Alligator mississippiensis: one gene and its partner. The main gene of each other region encodes a partner of the protein of the gene in region 2 in a complex. Links are inferred from orthologs where the notes say so. Each region holds a gene or a part of one and is shown on either strand. Other genes may lie near its edges.

Evidence for each region.
Region 1: the proteins of RASA1 (region 2) and ARHGAP35 are in contact, whole or in part, in a crystal structure (PDB 8DGQ), measured with the Homo sapiens proteins. The link is inferred for Alligator mississippiensis from reciprocal best matches to the Homo sapiens genes RASA1 and ARHGAP35. Residues at the interface, in NP_002881.1 of Homo sapiens: Arg188, Arg207, Ser209, Arg211, Val217, Asn228, His229, Phe230, Arg231, Ile241, Gly242, Tyr256, Leu262, Leu263, Lys264, Lys358, Ser379, Asp380, Asn381, Ser387, Gln397, Arg398, Phe399, Lys400, Met411, Gly412, Gly413, Arg414, His425, Tyr426; in NP_004482.4 of Homo sapiens: Ser1085, Asp1086, Tyr1087, Ala1088, Glu1089, Pro1090, Met1091, Asp1092, Ala1093, Val1094, Val1095, Arg1098, Glu1100, Asn1103, Ile1104, Tyr1105, Ser1106, Val1107, Pro1108, His1109.

What each region holds. Positions count from the first base shown.
Region 1 is NC_081838.1:651,668-658,833, forward strand, and holds the start of ARHGAP35 (rho GTPase-activating protein 35), read left to right. Parts: upstream 1-4,125; 5' UTR 4,126-4,253; intron 4,254-7,166.
Region 2 is NC_081826.1:245,121,765-245,129,694, forward strand, and holds the start of RASA1 (ras GTPase-activating protein 1), read right to left. Parts: upstream 3,023-7,930; 5' UTR 2,936-3,022; coding exon 2,583-2,935; intron 1-2,582. UniProt on the Homo sapiens protein: Inhibitory regulator of the Ras-cyclic AMP pathway. Stimulates the GTPase of normal but not oncogenic Ras p21; this stimulation may be further increased in the presence of NCK1.

The DNA of each region.
Region 1 (7,166 bases), on a different chromosome or scaffold from region 2:
GCGAAGGACTGGGCCCCGTGCTGGGGCTTGTGAAACCGCAGTTCCCAGAGGCTTTCCAGCCGCCCGCAGCCAGGCTGGGCTGCCGACGGCATCCTCCGTACGCCTCCCTCCGGCCTCTCGTGCCCGTGGGCTTCCCAGAGGGCTCGGCCGCTCTCTGGTCTCAGCAAAGACCAGGCAGTGCCTAGTGCCAAGTGGCTGGGGCGATGCTGGCAGTGGGGTGGAGCGGTAGCCCGCCCTGCCACGCGGGGAGCGGCACAGGACAGCGGGAGAGGTGGACCCGGGGTCCCAGCCGTCGGGGTATCTCTGACGCAGCAGAGTCTCGCGCAGCAGATTTCAGCACCTTGCTCCTTCCACGCCCTGCCCGAAGCATCGTCCTCGGCCTGCCGGTCCGGTCGGTCCCGCTTGCAGCTCAGCAGCTTCCCCCCCTTGTTCTGTTGTTTCCCACGCCCCTGCATCAGGCGGGTGCCCAGCAGGGCCGTCTCCTGCGCGCACAGAGGAGCAAAGACTTGGACGAGCCGGCGTGGGGATGCTGTCTCCTTTGGTTCCAGATTTCTCTGGGACTTTTGCTGGCTGGAAGAGTCTTCAGCAAGTTACTATCCTCTCAAGGATGCTTTGGTCAGGCCACAGCTCCAGTTCCCAGCTCTGCTTGTCATCGGGGAAGTCATTTCCTCTCCCGGAGCCAAGCTTCCCCACTGTGAGATGGGGATAAAGCCACGCCTGTCTCCAGTGGGGACCTGCGAGGAGAACCAGAAATAGCCTCCCTGAGTCACCGGCGGCCGTCTGAAGCTGTGATTATTTCCCACCGAGCAGGGGCTGAGTTTACAGAAGGCTCAAACCGCCTCGCCAGGATGCTAGACCACGGAGGAACGGGGCTGGAGGATGAAGCGCCCTGCTCTCCCGATGGGCGATCTACAGCTTTCGGGCGCTGCCTCTTCTCTAAGTGCTGGGCTCTGGCGTGCGCCCCAGAGGCATCTCCCTCTCCCAAGCTTTTTGATACTGCTTTGTAAAGGTATTTCAGGGTCTGACTCGCATGAAACCCATAGGAACTGAGTGCCTCTGAGCCTGGCCCGTGCAGGCGACACAGGTATTGCATCATTTGACCCTCTGTGGACAGCTGGGCAGCACCGGGCGGTGGCAGATACCCATCCAGGTTAGACTAAATCTCACATCAGGCATCGTGCCTCATACTCCAGCTGGGGTTTCTTGGCCATCGCAATCCCGGCAGCTCTCCTGTCCTCTAGGCGACCCGCGGACCCGGCCACTTCAGTGCCTGGCTGGAGAGGCGAGCTGCCAGGAGAGCACTACCACGGGTCCGTGCCTTTTCCTTCCTGCCTCCCAAGGGTGAAAAGCAGCTCCCAGGCGTCTGGGCTTTGCTGGTTGCCGCATGGGGCTGGAAGGGAAACCAACCCCTCCGTCACGCCCCCCTTACAGTGAGGCCCAGGGAAGCTGTGGACTCTCCACCCCTGGAGGGGCTCCAGGGGAGGCTGGGCAGCCACTGGCTGGGGTGATCTAGGCGTAGCGATGCCCATGCTCCACTATGGGGATGTCCCGGGCTTCTGGGCTTCGCTGGTTGCCCCCCTCCACGATGTGCCGGGGGGGTTTAGGCCTTCCTCAGAGCCGCTGGGTGTTGGCTGCAGCCCAGGCTGGGGATGGCAACTAGCCTGTGCCAATGTATCTGCAGGGACCTACGCCTGAGGGTCCTGGCTAGAGGGTCTCACCTTGCTGCTCAGGGTCAGACTGATGCTGCATTTGGGAATTTTCTCCCATAGTCAGACTGGTACGGACTGGGGGGGCTTTGCTTTCTTCCGCAGTGGGGACGTGGCCTCAGCCTGGGATCTCTCTGGTGTATTTGAACAGCCTCCTCCAGCAGCAGGACATCGGGTGTCGTGGTCCCCCTGCCTCACCTGGAGCAGGTTCGGATGCGATGTCTGATGCTGTGTCAAGGTTGACGGTAGTTTTCCAAAGAGGTTTGGTGGTGGATTTGTCTGGGCTGGTTCAGACGGGGCTGATCCTGCCTCGGGCAGGGCCTTAGACTAGACGTGACCTCTGCCTACCCCACCACGCCAGGATTTCTATGGAGGGTTTAAAGGGAAAAGACGTTTTTGGTCGGTTCCCCCTTCTGCCCTGCATTAGGAGTGCCGGGCTTGCCCAGCCGGATTCTCTGTGAGGCCGACTTTCCTACGATCCTGTGTGACACGACACACATACCATTGTAACCTGCTTTGCTGGGCCTGGCGCCGGACCCCATGTCCTCAGCGCACACGGGTGGATCTAGGGTTTTGAAAAGGGGGGTGCAGATAGTGTCAGCCCAGATGACAGGACAAGGAGCAATGGGCTCAGGCTACAGCAAGGCAATTTGAGGTTGGATATTAGGAAAAACTCTCTCACTGTGAGGGTGGTGAAGCACAAGAACAGGGTCCCCAGGGAGGTGGAGGAGTCTCCATCCTTGGAGGTGTTTAAGACCCGGCTGGACAAAGCCTTGGCTGGGATGATGTAGTTGGGGCTGGTCCTGCTCGGAGCAGGGGCTGGACTAGAGCTGACCTCCGGAGATCCCTTCCTGCCCTCGCTGTCTGTGATCACAGCTAACACAACACACGCCTTTCTCCACTTAGAGAGAAACTAGAAGCTTTACTAATGCACTGGGGGCCCAGCGCTGTATTATTCAGTGTGTGAGCAAAGCAAAACACAAACAGCACTTTACTGAAGTGCAGACTCATTTGCTAGCTTCTATATTAAGCTTAAAAAACACAACAAACTAATAAAAAAAAAAAAAAAAGGGGGCCAGAGCTATTGTCTCATTCGTCCTGCAGTCATAAATAATAATGAAATGCACGTCTCTCAGCCAGATTTGTAAAGCAAAATCTTGCCGCCTGGAGCATCTTGTGCGTGCCTCTGGTGCTTCGCTGTCAGTCCTTTCCATACCTGAGCTAATGTTCCCCTGAGGGCGTGTGACCACACCTGAGTTCAGGGGATGATCCAGGGCAGCAGCGCTCAGCCGTTGGCTCGTGGGCCAAAGGCGGCTTGTGGAGCCGTCACGTCCAGCCCGCCGGGCTCTCCACCGGTCAGGAAATTTGGTGGTGGGGGAGTGATGGCAATTAATACGGCCGCCCTCCCCGCTGCCAAACTCCCAAACCCTGCACATCTGTGCTCCCTTCCCCCCATGGGACCGAGCCATGGCTGGATTGGGATGGTCCATGCCTCCCCACAGCTGGATCGGGATGCCACCTCCCACTCCGCAGCTGGATCAGGGCTGGGCCACGCCTCCTCACAGCTGGATCGGGGCTGGGCCCACCCCGCTTTTTCTGCACAGCCAGATTTGGGCCAGCCTGCCCCCGCCCCACTCCACGTGGCTGGACGCAGCCTGCCACGTCGGACTGGGACCGCTGGCCGCGTCTGGCTCGCAGGCGGAGCAGGCACCCCCCAGCCAAAAGGGTCGTGCAGTGCTGGACCGGTGAAAGATCCAGACGGTTATGGAGCTGAGAGGGTCCTTCACACCCAGGGAGCGAAGAGATCAGCAGGAATCAGGGGGATGATCAGGAGCGGTGAAGTCGGCCGATTCCCTGAGCCGCTGCCGGGATAGAAACGCCCCTGCTGCTCCCAGGCAGGCGGTTATAAAGCTCGGGCAGGGCAGGAATCATGGGGTGGGAAGGGGCAGCTGCCCCAGCGCCCGCCAGCCACACACCACGCCGAGCAGCGCGGCAGGGGCTTTGTGGCAGGACAGAAGAGAGGATGCAAAAGGCGCCTGCTCAAGGGGCCAGCCCTGGCCCAGTGGGCCGGGACCAGGGTGTCTCGCCCCACCCCCGGCCTAGTGCCACCCTGGGGACACCAGTCACAAGAGGGGGCAGGGTCATGACCTCTGGAAATCCCACCCACCCACTTCACTAAGGGGGGGAGGGCGCATGCGCGGAGAGGCGGCCCAGGTGACAGGGGCTCGCACGTGGGAAAGAAGACATCTCTGCGCACGCGCGGCTCACCGCTTTTCCACGCGCCTTCCCCCTCGCGCATGCGCACACACAACCTCCCTCCTCCCTCCTCGCACCGCCCCCTTCCCCCTCCGCGCCTCTCCCGCGCATGCGCCCGGCCCCTTCCCGCCCCTCCCTCCCGCGCATGCGCGCCGCGGCCCCTCCCCCCGCGCCCCCCCGCCGCCCTCGGTGGCTGCTGAGGGGAGGAGGAAGGAGCCGCCGCCGCCGCCGCCGCCATTACGGGCCGAGCCCGCCCCGCGCGGCCCACGGGGACATGGCGCCGCCGCCGCGGTACGTATGGCCCCCCCCGGCCCCGGCCCCCCGGCGCGGGCGCCGAACAATGGGCCGCCCCTCCCCGCCCCGCCCCGCCACGCCCCTCCCCCCGCCGGGCGCAGGGGGCGGGGCCGCGGGGCCTGCGCCCCTTGACGGGGGGGGGCAGGGACCCCCCTCGGGGGCGGGGGGCGGGGCTGTCCCCCCCACCCCACCCCACCCACGGGGGCGGGGCTGCCCCTCCCCCACCCCCACCGAGGGGGGCCCCTCCCCCACCTGGGGGTTGCCCCCCTTTCTCTTCACCCCACCCTCATTGGGGGGCTGCCCCCCCTTCAGTATCCCACCCCCATTTTGAGGGGGGAGGGGCTGCCCTTCCCCCCCCTTGCCATCTTCATCCCACCCCCAACCTGGGGGGTTGGACTGCCCTGCCCCCCTCCCCCCCGCTGGCCTGTTTGCGGCTGGGGGGGGCTGCCCCATGAGCCCCCTCCGCCCTCTGTGGTATTGGGGGGCTGCGAGTGCGGGAGGGCCCTGGGGTCCCCCCCATTCACCCCCCCCCGCTGGCTGTGAGGAGAGCTCGAGGCGCCCCCGCCCCCGCCTTGGGGGCCGTTGCCTCCTGCCCCCAGCTCTGCCTGCGCGCCCGAGCGCCGCTTGGGGTGGGGTGCTGGGGCTCGCGCCCCGCGCCCTCGTCACCCCCAGCCGTGTCGGGGGCTGCCCCCGCCCCGCCCCGCCCCACGGGCAGGACCGCCTGGTGCTGGTGCCGGGTCCGGGGGCGCCCGGGCGGTGCCGTTACCCCGCAGGGACGGGGCGCTGCAGCTCGAAACGATTCGCTGCCTGCGACGGTGCCTCGACCCGCCCCTCCCTCCCTCCCTCCCTCCCTCCCCACGTGTCTGGCTGGGGTCTCCGTGTACCCGCTCCGGCCGGCCGTGCATCCGACGGGAGGCTCCGGCAGCGCAGGGTTCGGTCGTTTGCTCGGGTCCGCCCGCGCCGCGATCCCCTTTTGTGTTTGTCGCTGCTTACGTAGCTCCGAAATAACCCCCCGTGTGCCTGCACGGCCCCCCGCGCCGTGGCCTGCTTCGGGCGTCTCGCCCCGCCAAGGCGTGTTCCCGGGAGATTGAAATCGAAATGACTCCGGCCTTCAGGACGGGCACGAGTTTCCTGTTGTGAACGGGTGCCGAGGCGCGTTTGCCGGGGCTGGGCGACGGCCGGCCTGGTCGGCGCGGCCGGTTCATTCAGGAATCCGGTGCGATCCTGCCGGCGGGAGACGGACGGCCTTGTCGCTCTGTTTGCTCGTAATGCAGAATTGTGCAATGTTTCTTGTCCCGAGATAGCAACTGGAGTGCGTGTGTGTGCGTGTGCGAGGTCTGGAAACAATACCGAGCGCCGGTTTCCAGCAAACGTTTCCTTGCTGCCGTGAGCGGGAGGGTCGGGCCTGTTGTATCATCACCCGCGCTCTTAGTGCAAGGGGGGACGGCTCGTGTCTGTTCTTGCTGGGTTTCCACAAGGAAACGAGCAGGCAGGTTTGCCCAGGGCTGGTTTTCTTCCTGCTCCCCCCGCTCCCCTGAGCCGAGAGCTGGTTTCTGTAAGGGCTGCCGGGCGTGCGGCTTTCCATGCTGTGAGCCCGCGCTGGAGGAGGGAATTCAAAGCCAACGACATTTACATCTGCTTTTGTTCCCGTATCGACGGCTTCAAGAATCTGTGGCAGTAACATTTGTGTGATCAGTGTGTGCGCCTGGCGGAGAGGCTCTTTGTTTTCCAAGGTGGTGTGTTTTCGGTGCGGAGCCTGCCTTGCTCATCCGGTGGAGAGGTGATGCTCTTTCCTAACACGGGTTTGTTCCTAGAAGGAGCTGGGCAGGCTCCCTTTAAAAGGCAGCACCGTTTTCTTGGTAGTTTCTCTGCTTTCCCCCTTGCCAAGCCCTCCAGACCCACACTCTGCTGTAAAGTCGATTGTGTTTCTCCAATCTCGCTTGGCTCTCCCTTCACAGCCCCCAAAAAGCTCTGCGGCCCAAGGGGATCTGGGATAATGGAGAGGGTGGGAGCCGACCTACAAAAGCGGCCGTCGAGTTCTTCTGTTTCTCCCTGCTGTTGTGGTTGTACAGTTTGTACTTGAATCGAACCAGTAAAATGCAACGCCAACATGCCCTGTTTCTTTTCTCGGCCATTCAGATGGAAATGGGTTCATAATTTCGGTGGAGTCCAGAGCTTGCTTTGCCACTGTCACTCACTCTCCCTGGTTTTTAACAATACTTAACTTTCCCTGCTGAGTCACTGGTGACCTGTACTCCGATAGCAAAGGTCTGAATGAACGGGCTTGAGCGACTGCGTTTTGGTGGCAGTTCGGTGTTTCCCAGAGCACGTAACCTGGCTCTTAATTGCCTGTATTTTCAACTTTCCCTCCAGAGACATGCCAGGGGCGAGGTCTTTTCTTCTGTGGCGTGACATTTTCAGGATTAACGGTGCTTCTCGAGCTGTGTGGTAAAATGTTACTGAAGTTTGGAGAACGCGCCTTTCTCGCCATGCCTCAGTGACTGCGTTTGTAGTGCTAGGTGCGTTCTGGCTTCGAGCAAAAATTCAGTGCGAGGAGGGAAGGGCACTGATTTCCTGGGGTCAGGATTTTTACTGCAGGAGTGGAAAAAGGTTTTGGCAGTGAGCGGACACAGTGGTGGTCTCCCACTTGCCTTGCTGCCTAGCTGACCTGTATTACGAATACGTCGCTACTATAAAGTTACCTGATCAGTATGATTTCTGCCTGGACTTGCACAGGGGCCCAGATCTGTGCTGTGGATGCCCATCGCTGTGTGCTAATCCTCTGCATACTAGAAGGCCTGAATATTTCCCCAGTATGGTCAACGGCTTGTTTACATGTTATAAATTTTCTGAATAGTCTGTAGCATCTTTTCTTTCCCCTGAGCAGTGCCCAGAAATGTTTTATTTTCT
Region 2 (7,930 bases):
TCAAAAAAATGAGCGATTAAACTGCAGGGAAGAACACTTGCAAAACAAAAAAAGAACAAAATGGAAAGGATAAAAGTTACTGTTAAACTTAAGCAGCTAAACACTGAAAAAAAATCAGAAACAAATCAAAAAAGTTTTTGTCTGGCCCATTTCTTTAGTGAAATGTCAGTGTCACTGGTTTCCCCTGTACAATCAAGCTTGCAAGTCACTCACAGCAGCAGGAAAAAATAAACACAACAGGAATATGATTATGAAGTTAGATTCAGAGGCAGGTATCACTCCTGAAATACCTCTCTGGAAATTTATCCCATTTTCAATAGCTATCCCTTTTTTATACTTTAAAGAAATGTTTCGAGTACCTTAAACATTTCTACCCCAACATGTTGGCCCTGATCCTGCAAAGATCAGGGCCACATGCTTTGCTTTAATCATGTGAGTAATCTAACAAAAGAATGCAACTGAAGTATGCGCTTAAAGACGGCAAGATTGTGGCTATTGTAGTCCTCCAATAAGATCCATTTATAAAAAGCCAGACACTTCACTGTTTTGAAGTAGTTTAAAAGTATGTAAGGCTTTGCATAAAAATTGCGCTGCTAGCATATACATTTGGTGTTCCAACCGGAATTTTAAAAAGTATTCACATTTATAAGTCACAATAAAATGTATTTAGAAACATGAGTAGTCACTGACCTAAACAATCACCCAATCAACCATTGTTACAGATCTGTTGGGCATCCATGTGAGAAGTATGCAATATTTAGTTCTTGCAGCAGAAGAGAGGAAGTTTGGTCTTGTGGAAAGGAAATCAAGACCTCTGTCACTAACTTGCTATGTCCTCTTGCATAAGTCACCTCACCTGCCAGTGCCTCTATTTCCCCTCATTTTTTGTCCCTCCTGTTCCTTCACATTTTGATCTGTCTGAGGAATAGGATAGCTTTTCATAAACATTTGAACAGTCTCTATTTCATTAAGGACGTTATTCTTAGGAATCGAGTCATAAAAAACAGAAAACATAATCAAGGATGACTGGAAAGGTTAAAGAGCTGTGTGTGAAAACATATCTTTGCCCTCCTTTTTTGTACAGCAGCTCTGCTATCATCCTGAGCTTGGGAAGAAGAAACTCGCAACATGGAAAGTTTAAGCTGCCTCTGAAGAGATGGAGCACCTTCCCCACTTTGTATTAACATTAGACACGAACCCTCCCAAAAGTACACACAGTCTTACAGAGCTAGCAAGAAAAACAGACTATGAATAGGTAATTTTTTTTTAAGGCTATGAAAACATTATGTTATTTCTAGACAAAACAACATCAGTAAGGGGGTGCCTTTTTGCACTCATTTGACAGGGAAGTGGGGAGTAATGGGGATGGGAAAAAGCTTTTAAAAATATGAAAGCCCATAAACATGCAAGAAGAATTTTACACTGAACTACTGTGAGAACATAACACACAACACTGAAACCAAACCACTTCCCAGATCCCATTAACACACAGGATAAGAAATCCAGCCAGAACCCATCTAAATAATACTTGCCATTGCAAATCTGCATTCCCATTTTACATCTTGCCCCTCTAATGCATCTGATATATGAGGCTTCACCCTAACTTAGGCATCCATTTATATACCCAAATACCAACTTTACTATTTCAGTCCCTGAAAGACTTGTCTTTCTGTAGGGCATTGTGTGCCCCAAGGTAGCTGTTGCCCTACAGATAAGTTATTAGTACACCCAGAAGCTTTTTGCCTGTGTGCCCGTTTCGAGTTCTGACTGTATGTCCAAGTGTAAGCACACAGGCAGCGGGAAATCGAACATAAGTGACACCTGTAACAACTGTCCGGGATGTCCTTTATGTCATCAGCACTGAAGGAATCCATGGTAAGCTAATGAAAAGGCAAACATAGTGAAATCCTACTACAAACCACCACTTGTTTGGGGTTGGTTTTTGGGAGGGGGGGGGCAGGTTAGAGGGCAGGGAGGAGGTTGGGGTTGTTTTTTTTTTTACTGAAGCCCAGTTCTTTTCAAAAATGACCTAACTGCATATGAACTTCTTCCAAATCAGCCAGGCTACAGAAGCCTTCATTTACAAAAAAATTGCCTCCAAGTGCTGAAAAGCTACACATTATTACCTGCCTTTAAAGCCCCCAGGAAGACTGGCTGCAGGGGGGGGGACCCCAAGCAGGACAGCAGGCCACCCACCTGCTTCAGGAAAACTAAAGTCACCCGCAGATTTTCTTTTTTGTTTAAGAAAAAAAAAAAAGGGGGGGGGGGGGGTGTCACGAAAGAGCCATTCGGCCACATCGGAGCTTTGTCCCGGGAGCACCCAGCTCTGCCGAGGCGCATAGAGGCAGGGAGCTGCTCGGCCCAAAAACCCTGGGAAGAGGAGGAACTTCCCGAGAGCTCATCCCGCCCGCGGCTGGGACGGGCGTCCCTCGTGGCCGGGCGCGGCCGGCTCCCGCACCCCGCGGGCCCATTGTTGGCGCCGGGACCGCGGATTTCCCCGGGATCCGGGCGCGGAGGGGGGGCAAAACTTGCAACCCGGCGCGGGCGCTGCCACGCACTTCCCCCGGGCGGGCGGCACTCACTGGTTGGTGGGGGGCGCGGTGAGCGGGATGGCCACCTCCTCCTCCTCGTACTCGGGCCCGTCCAGCGAGTCGCCCTCGTCCGCGGCGCCCAGCGGCGGCGGCGGTGGCAGCGGCGGGAAGCCGGAGCCCGGCCCGGCGGCTGCCGTCTCCGGGGCGGGGGGCGCCGCCCTGGGCATCTCGTGGCCGGCGGCCGGCGGCGGGGCAAGTCCCGGGGGCGCGGGGAAGGAGGCGGGAGAGCCCGGCGGGCGGGCCCGGCACGGGGCAGCGCAGTGGCCCGGCTCGGCGGCGGCGGCGGGTGTCCCGGCGGCGGGAGCCGAGCCGCCCTCCTCACCCCCAGCCTCGGCCGCCATCATGGTGAGCCTCGCCCCCTCCCCCTCGGCCGCGCGGGGAGGAGGTGACAAAGGGGCCGACCCCCGCCCCGCCCCGCCCCGCCCCGCGCCGAGCCGAGCCGAGCCGCAGCCGGGACTGGCGGGGGCAGCTTCCCGGGCCGGCTGGGGGCAGCGCCGCTCCGCAGGGCCCCGGCGCGGCTGCCTCTGCCTCCGCCTCCTGCCCCAGCGGCCGGGAGAGAGCGGCCCGGCCCCGCCCCGCCCCGCCCGCCCGCAGCGAGCACAGCTCCGGGACCGCAGCGGGGGAGGGGAGGGGAGGGGAGGGGGCGGCAGCCCTGGCGGACTGCGCATGCGCTGCGGCTCGTGAGGCGAGGCCGAGCGGTCGCCGCTGCCGCTGGCTCCCGCTCTGCCGCTGGCTTCCGCTGCCGCCCGCAGCGCTGGGGTGGGGGCAGCTCTGCCTGGAGCCTCTCTGCTCCCCCCGTCCGCAGAGGGGCAGTGCGCCAGGGGAGTCCCCAGGAGTGGGGCCGGCACAGCTGAGCCGCGAGCCCCGTCCCCTCCCGCGCCAGGCGCGGCTGGATCCGGGCTCAGCCCCTTTGTGTCCGGCCGGGCTGCGCCCTCGTCGCAGCAGCATGGCCTGGGGGGCGCGTCCACACCTGGCAGGGCTGAGAAGAGGCGGGGCGGCGGGGGAGGTTTCTGAGGCTAAACTCTGACTGGGTCTGGCAGACTCTCGTGTTTCTTAAGTGCCTTTGAATTGGGATTTGGGTTGCCCTAGATCCAGCTTGCCCCCAGGTTGTTTTTTTGAGGCCCCAAATTAGTAGGATTCAGCTGTTTCCTCTGCATTTCAGGCTGTAGTTCTGTTCCCTCTGGGTGCTCTAGACCTGCAATTAATGCAAAGCAATAAACTCCGGAGCAGTTTGAGCTGGAGTAAACTACTCCTGGGTATAGTGTCTGCATGTGTGCCCAGGACAGCAGCACATTGAGGCATGGCAGAGCAGGCCCACGCTAGCAGGGTGCTGAAGGGCATCAGCTCTGGGTTCCTGAGGGGTGCTGGAAGTGCAGAGCCTCTGGCAGGGTGACAGGCAGCAGCCTGGCCCCCAGCAAGCTGGCCTGGCAGGGTGCAGTTCTTGCCCCTGGTTACATGTGCTTAATCAGAGTGAATTACCCTGGTGTAAGATAGTACATTCCTGGATAGTACTATTTTAGAACAGCATAAATTAGTTTACTGCAGCCTGCTACCCTCACACCTGTAGACGGTGATGCTTTACTCCACAGCTAATTACTCTACCCTGCACTAAAGAGCTTGTGTAGAGGCAGGCAGTGGGCACAGCTACATGAGACGCTGGCTGTGCAGTAGTCAAATCATACTGCACAGTAGCACATCACAGTGCCAACAATGCTAATATGCTACAGTGCAGTATTATTAGGCTACTGCACAGTAGCATCACAGATGTTCACTGGTACTACTACACAGTAACTCCCATTGCTGCACATTTAGGGCACTTTTAAGCATGCATGCATCGCAACGCTGGGCAAGCGCCTAGCGCTGTGACGCATACAATTGTATGAGCAGCAAAATGTGCGTCAGCATTGGGAAAAGCAGCAGATCTCTGGCATATCACTGGAAAAAAAGGATGTGTATAAATGCTCTTATTTAGTACTTGATTATATGAGTACTAAATAAATGCGCAGTAACCACTGCACAGTAGCATCTCATGTAGACATGCCTACCAAATAGCAAACTAGTACTGAGGTTGAGGAGCTGTGCTCCCCTGGGGGAAATGAATGCTTGTTAAGTTCAACTCCTTTTTTCTTCTGCAAATATCACAAAAGGGTCTATACCTGCTGTAAACATAATATGCATAAAGCGACAGCAAGGTTGTGGTGGGTTTTTGACTGACAGGATCGTAGTCCTCACAGTGCTCTGAGAGGTGCATGCACAACTATCCTAATTAATAATAGCTTTTCCCTTGGTACCGGTCTGAAAAAAATGTATCCTTTTGTTCACTTATTGCTCTGAGCCTCAGCCACTAACTCCCAAACTTAATTTTATGTTCTCCAGGAATTCCATTGAATGCAGTAGAACTATTCATGAGTTAAGCTGTGTACAGATGTAAGTACTTCCAAGATCAGGACCAATGTGACAAACCTATTTCCAGGCAAAATAGTGTGTAGATACCTTTTGACTTGCAATATTAAAATAGCTGACAAATAGTAGCACCTTGACACTTGCATGTGTCTCAAGTGTTCTTAAAAGGCATCTAAACATTCAGGTTTTCAAAGCTTTGCATTACCCAAAAGTATTAAGTGAATTTCTCCTGAGGCAACTGAAACAAATTGATACTCCTTCCACAGCTCTCCAGCCAACATCGTTTTATCTGCTGCACTGAACTCTCTTATCTTTCCTTCCAAAAGCAAAATTCTTCTCCTTGTTGCACCATTAAAATCTCAGGATTTACTCTGGATTTGTGCCAGTGTAAATGAAAGCAGAATTTGGCTCCAGTCCTGAATTTATAGGATTATAACGTGTGTGTCCTGCTGTTTTTGTGTTTAAAAAATTTCAGCCTCGGTAGCAGTCCTTTACAAGTCTAATTTCCATAGTTACACGTTCCATTATTGTACATGTAATTTCAAATAATCTTCTTGCAATTGTCTCTCTGTGGGTTTCTATTTACTGTTCATTTTCCCTCTCAGATTTTCAAATGTAATTATTTAAATCCACTGTTGTTGTGTTTGTAGGAGTGTCATTCCTAGATACTTTAATGCACTATAAATATTTGTAGGACTCTCTTCTTTGAGATTCTCCTCTTCTGATAACTTAGGGACATAATAAGGGTGCTGTGCTGAGAATTCAGTCCAGGGGAGGGCTGCACAGCTCATGGGTTTTGCATGGGGAGGGCAAATGCAAATTTTGATGTGGTCTCCACAAGAGGCTTCCTGTGAGGCTTGCTAAATCAGTGCTTCTCTAATGTGGCAAACCATGCCACTCTCCCAGGTCTGACCTACCCATGCAGCAGACTGGCAGAGATACCCAAACAATAAAAGCTATAGAAGTGGTCTGGCTGAATTAGCATGGTGCCTGCGCTAATTAGCCACACCAAGAAGTATGGCCCATGTAGAACAGTGAGCTAATGTCAGTATGTTGCTCCATCAGTCCTCGAACCTGCTCTGAATGAGCACTGTACCAAGGGGACATATTGTGGACAGAATTTGTTTAAACCCCTTGGCCTTGCTGGTGCTTTCATCCCCATGTTTCTACTCTGGTTAGATTTTCCAACAATAGAAATCTACCATTTAGGGTCCATTACCCACACTTTCATAATTACAGAAATGAGCTTCGTACCTGGGGAGAAAACATAATCATTGTCGTCATCATCAAAAGCAAACCAAGTCTACCAAATGGAACCATATTTTCTGGACATCTGCCATACATCTGCAAAAATACCTTTTTATTGAATATCCTGGACACAACTGCAGAAGGTTCGTTCCTTCCTTACCCTTTCCCAAGTTTGTTCCTCATGCGGTCGCTTAAATTCATTGATGAATGCATGTAGACCTGTGCTGAAGCAAGTCTACAAGGTGGACTCCTGGGCAAGTCTGGAATGTTTGAAAATCTATAGGAGCTTTCATTGGTGGCCAGTAGTTCTAATGGCCCTTCCCCATGGCCACATTGAAATTTCACGTGACAGAAAACTACTGCTGTTCTCATTTCAACATGCTTTAGTTATATTTGAATAATCTGTAGAAAGAAGGAAATATTTTCTGTATAGAACATGCATGTCTATTCCATATAAAATATGTTATATCACATTTATTGCTGTTGTCAGTTCTGGTCTTTCTTTTTAATGATCTGTTCCAGCCATGGGAATTAACTAGTTAATTAACTAGTTAAAAAATTAAAGAAATGGCTAATTTTTAACTGTAACTAGTTAAATTTTTCAGCTGTCAACTTTTAACTTTAACTTGTTAAAAAAAAGGTTAACTTTAACTTTTTTTAAAGTATAAGTTAAAAGTTAAAAAAATTGAAATCTGGCTTTCCCAGAGTTTTTTCTGACAGCTACTCCTAGGACTTAAATGGAATGATAGTTCTTTATTGAAACTCTAGGACTTCTTGTTTGAGAGAGAGAGAGAGAGAGTAGGATGCCTTCCTATGAAATATGGTCTCTTAAGAACTGTAAGTCTCAGAGTTCCTTAGTTCATGCTGGCATTTTTCTGTGCATTTGCAGAAGTCAACAGGGCAGCCAGTTGGCTGCAGGAGGGAACAAGCACAAGCAAGCAGAGACATTGATCCCAGTAAGAGTGGGAGCGAATAGTGAGGGTGAAGCAGATGATGACTTTTTTTAGTTTTAATGAAGATTAGAACCAGCAGCCCAGGGCCCAAGAAGTTGAGCATTACTTCTCATCTGTGAGAAACTTATCTGAGATGTCACCTACTATGAAAAAACTACTCATCTGTTATAACACAAGCATTCCCTCATCTACCCCTGTAGAGTGATTGTTTAGTAGTGGGGGCTTAGTTTTGCAAGACAGAAAAGGAAAATTGTCAGATGTACGTTTTGAAGCTTTTGCTGAAGTTCAATAAGCATGTTTAAACAGTTTTGCTATGCAACTGAACATTCTTTTTCTCATTTGAGCCTAATTTTGATTTTCAGACACTTTCATTATTTCTAATTCAGATGTATTTCATACCCTTTTGTTACCTTTTGAGCAATAAAAATTGTAGCAACAGAGGTTGTCTGTGGAAACAGCTTTCATTTGTTATCTGGCTTTGAATATCTCCTTTCTGTTATTTTGGTATACCTATATGATGCATTGACTTCTACAAAGTACTTCACATGGAGAGGGTGAGAAAGTTCTAGCATTACATAGGTATTGGTAAATTGTTATTCTGAAAACTGTATGACAAGTATAACATTGTTTGCAGGTAAAGCAGGGTGAGTTCTGAGTAAATTAGTGCACTTCTGTGGGCTTATGGAAAAGAAACCCACTCATTGCATTTGAAAATGAAAATGATGCTAAAAGGCA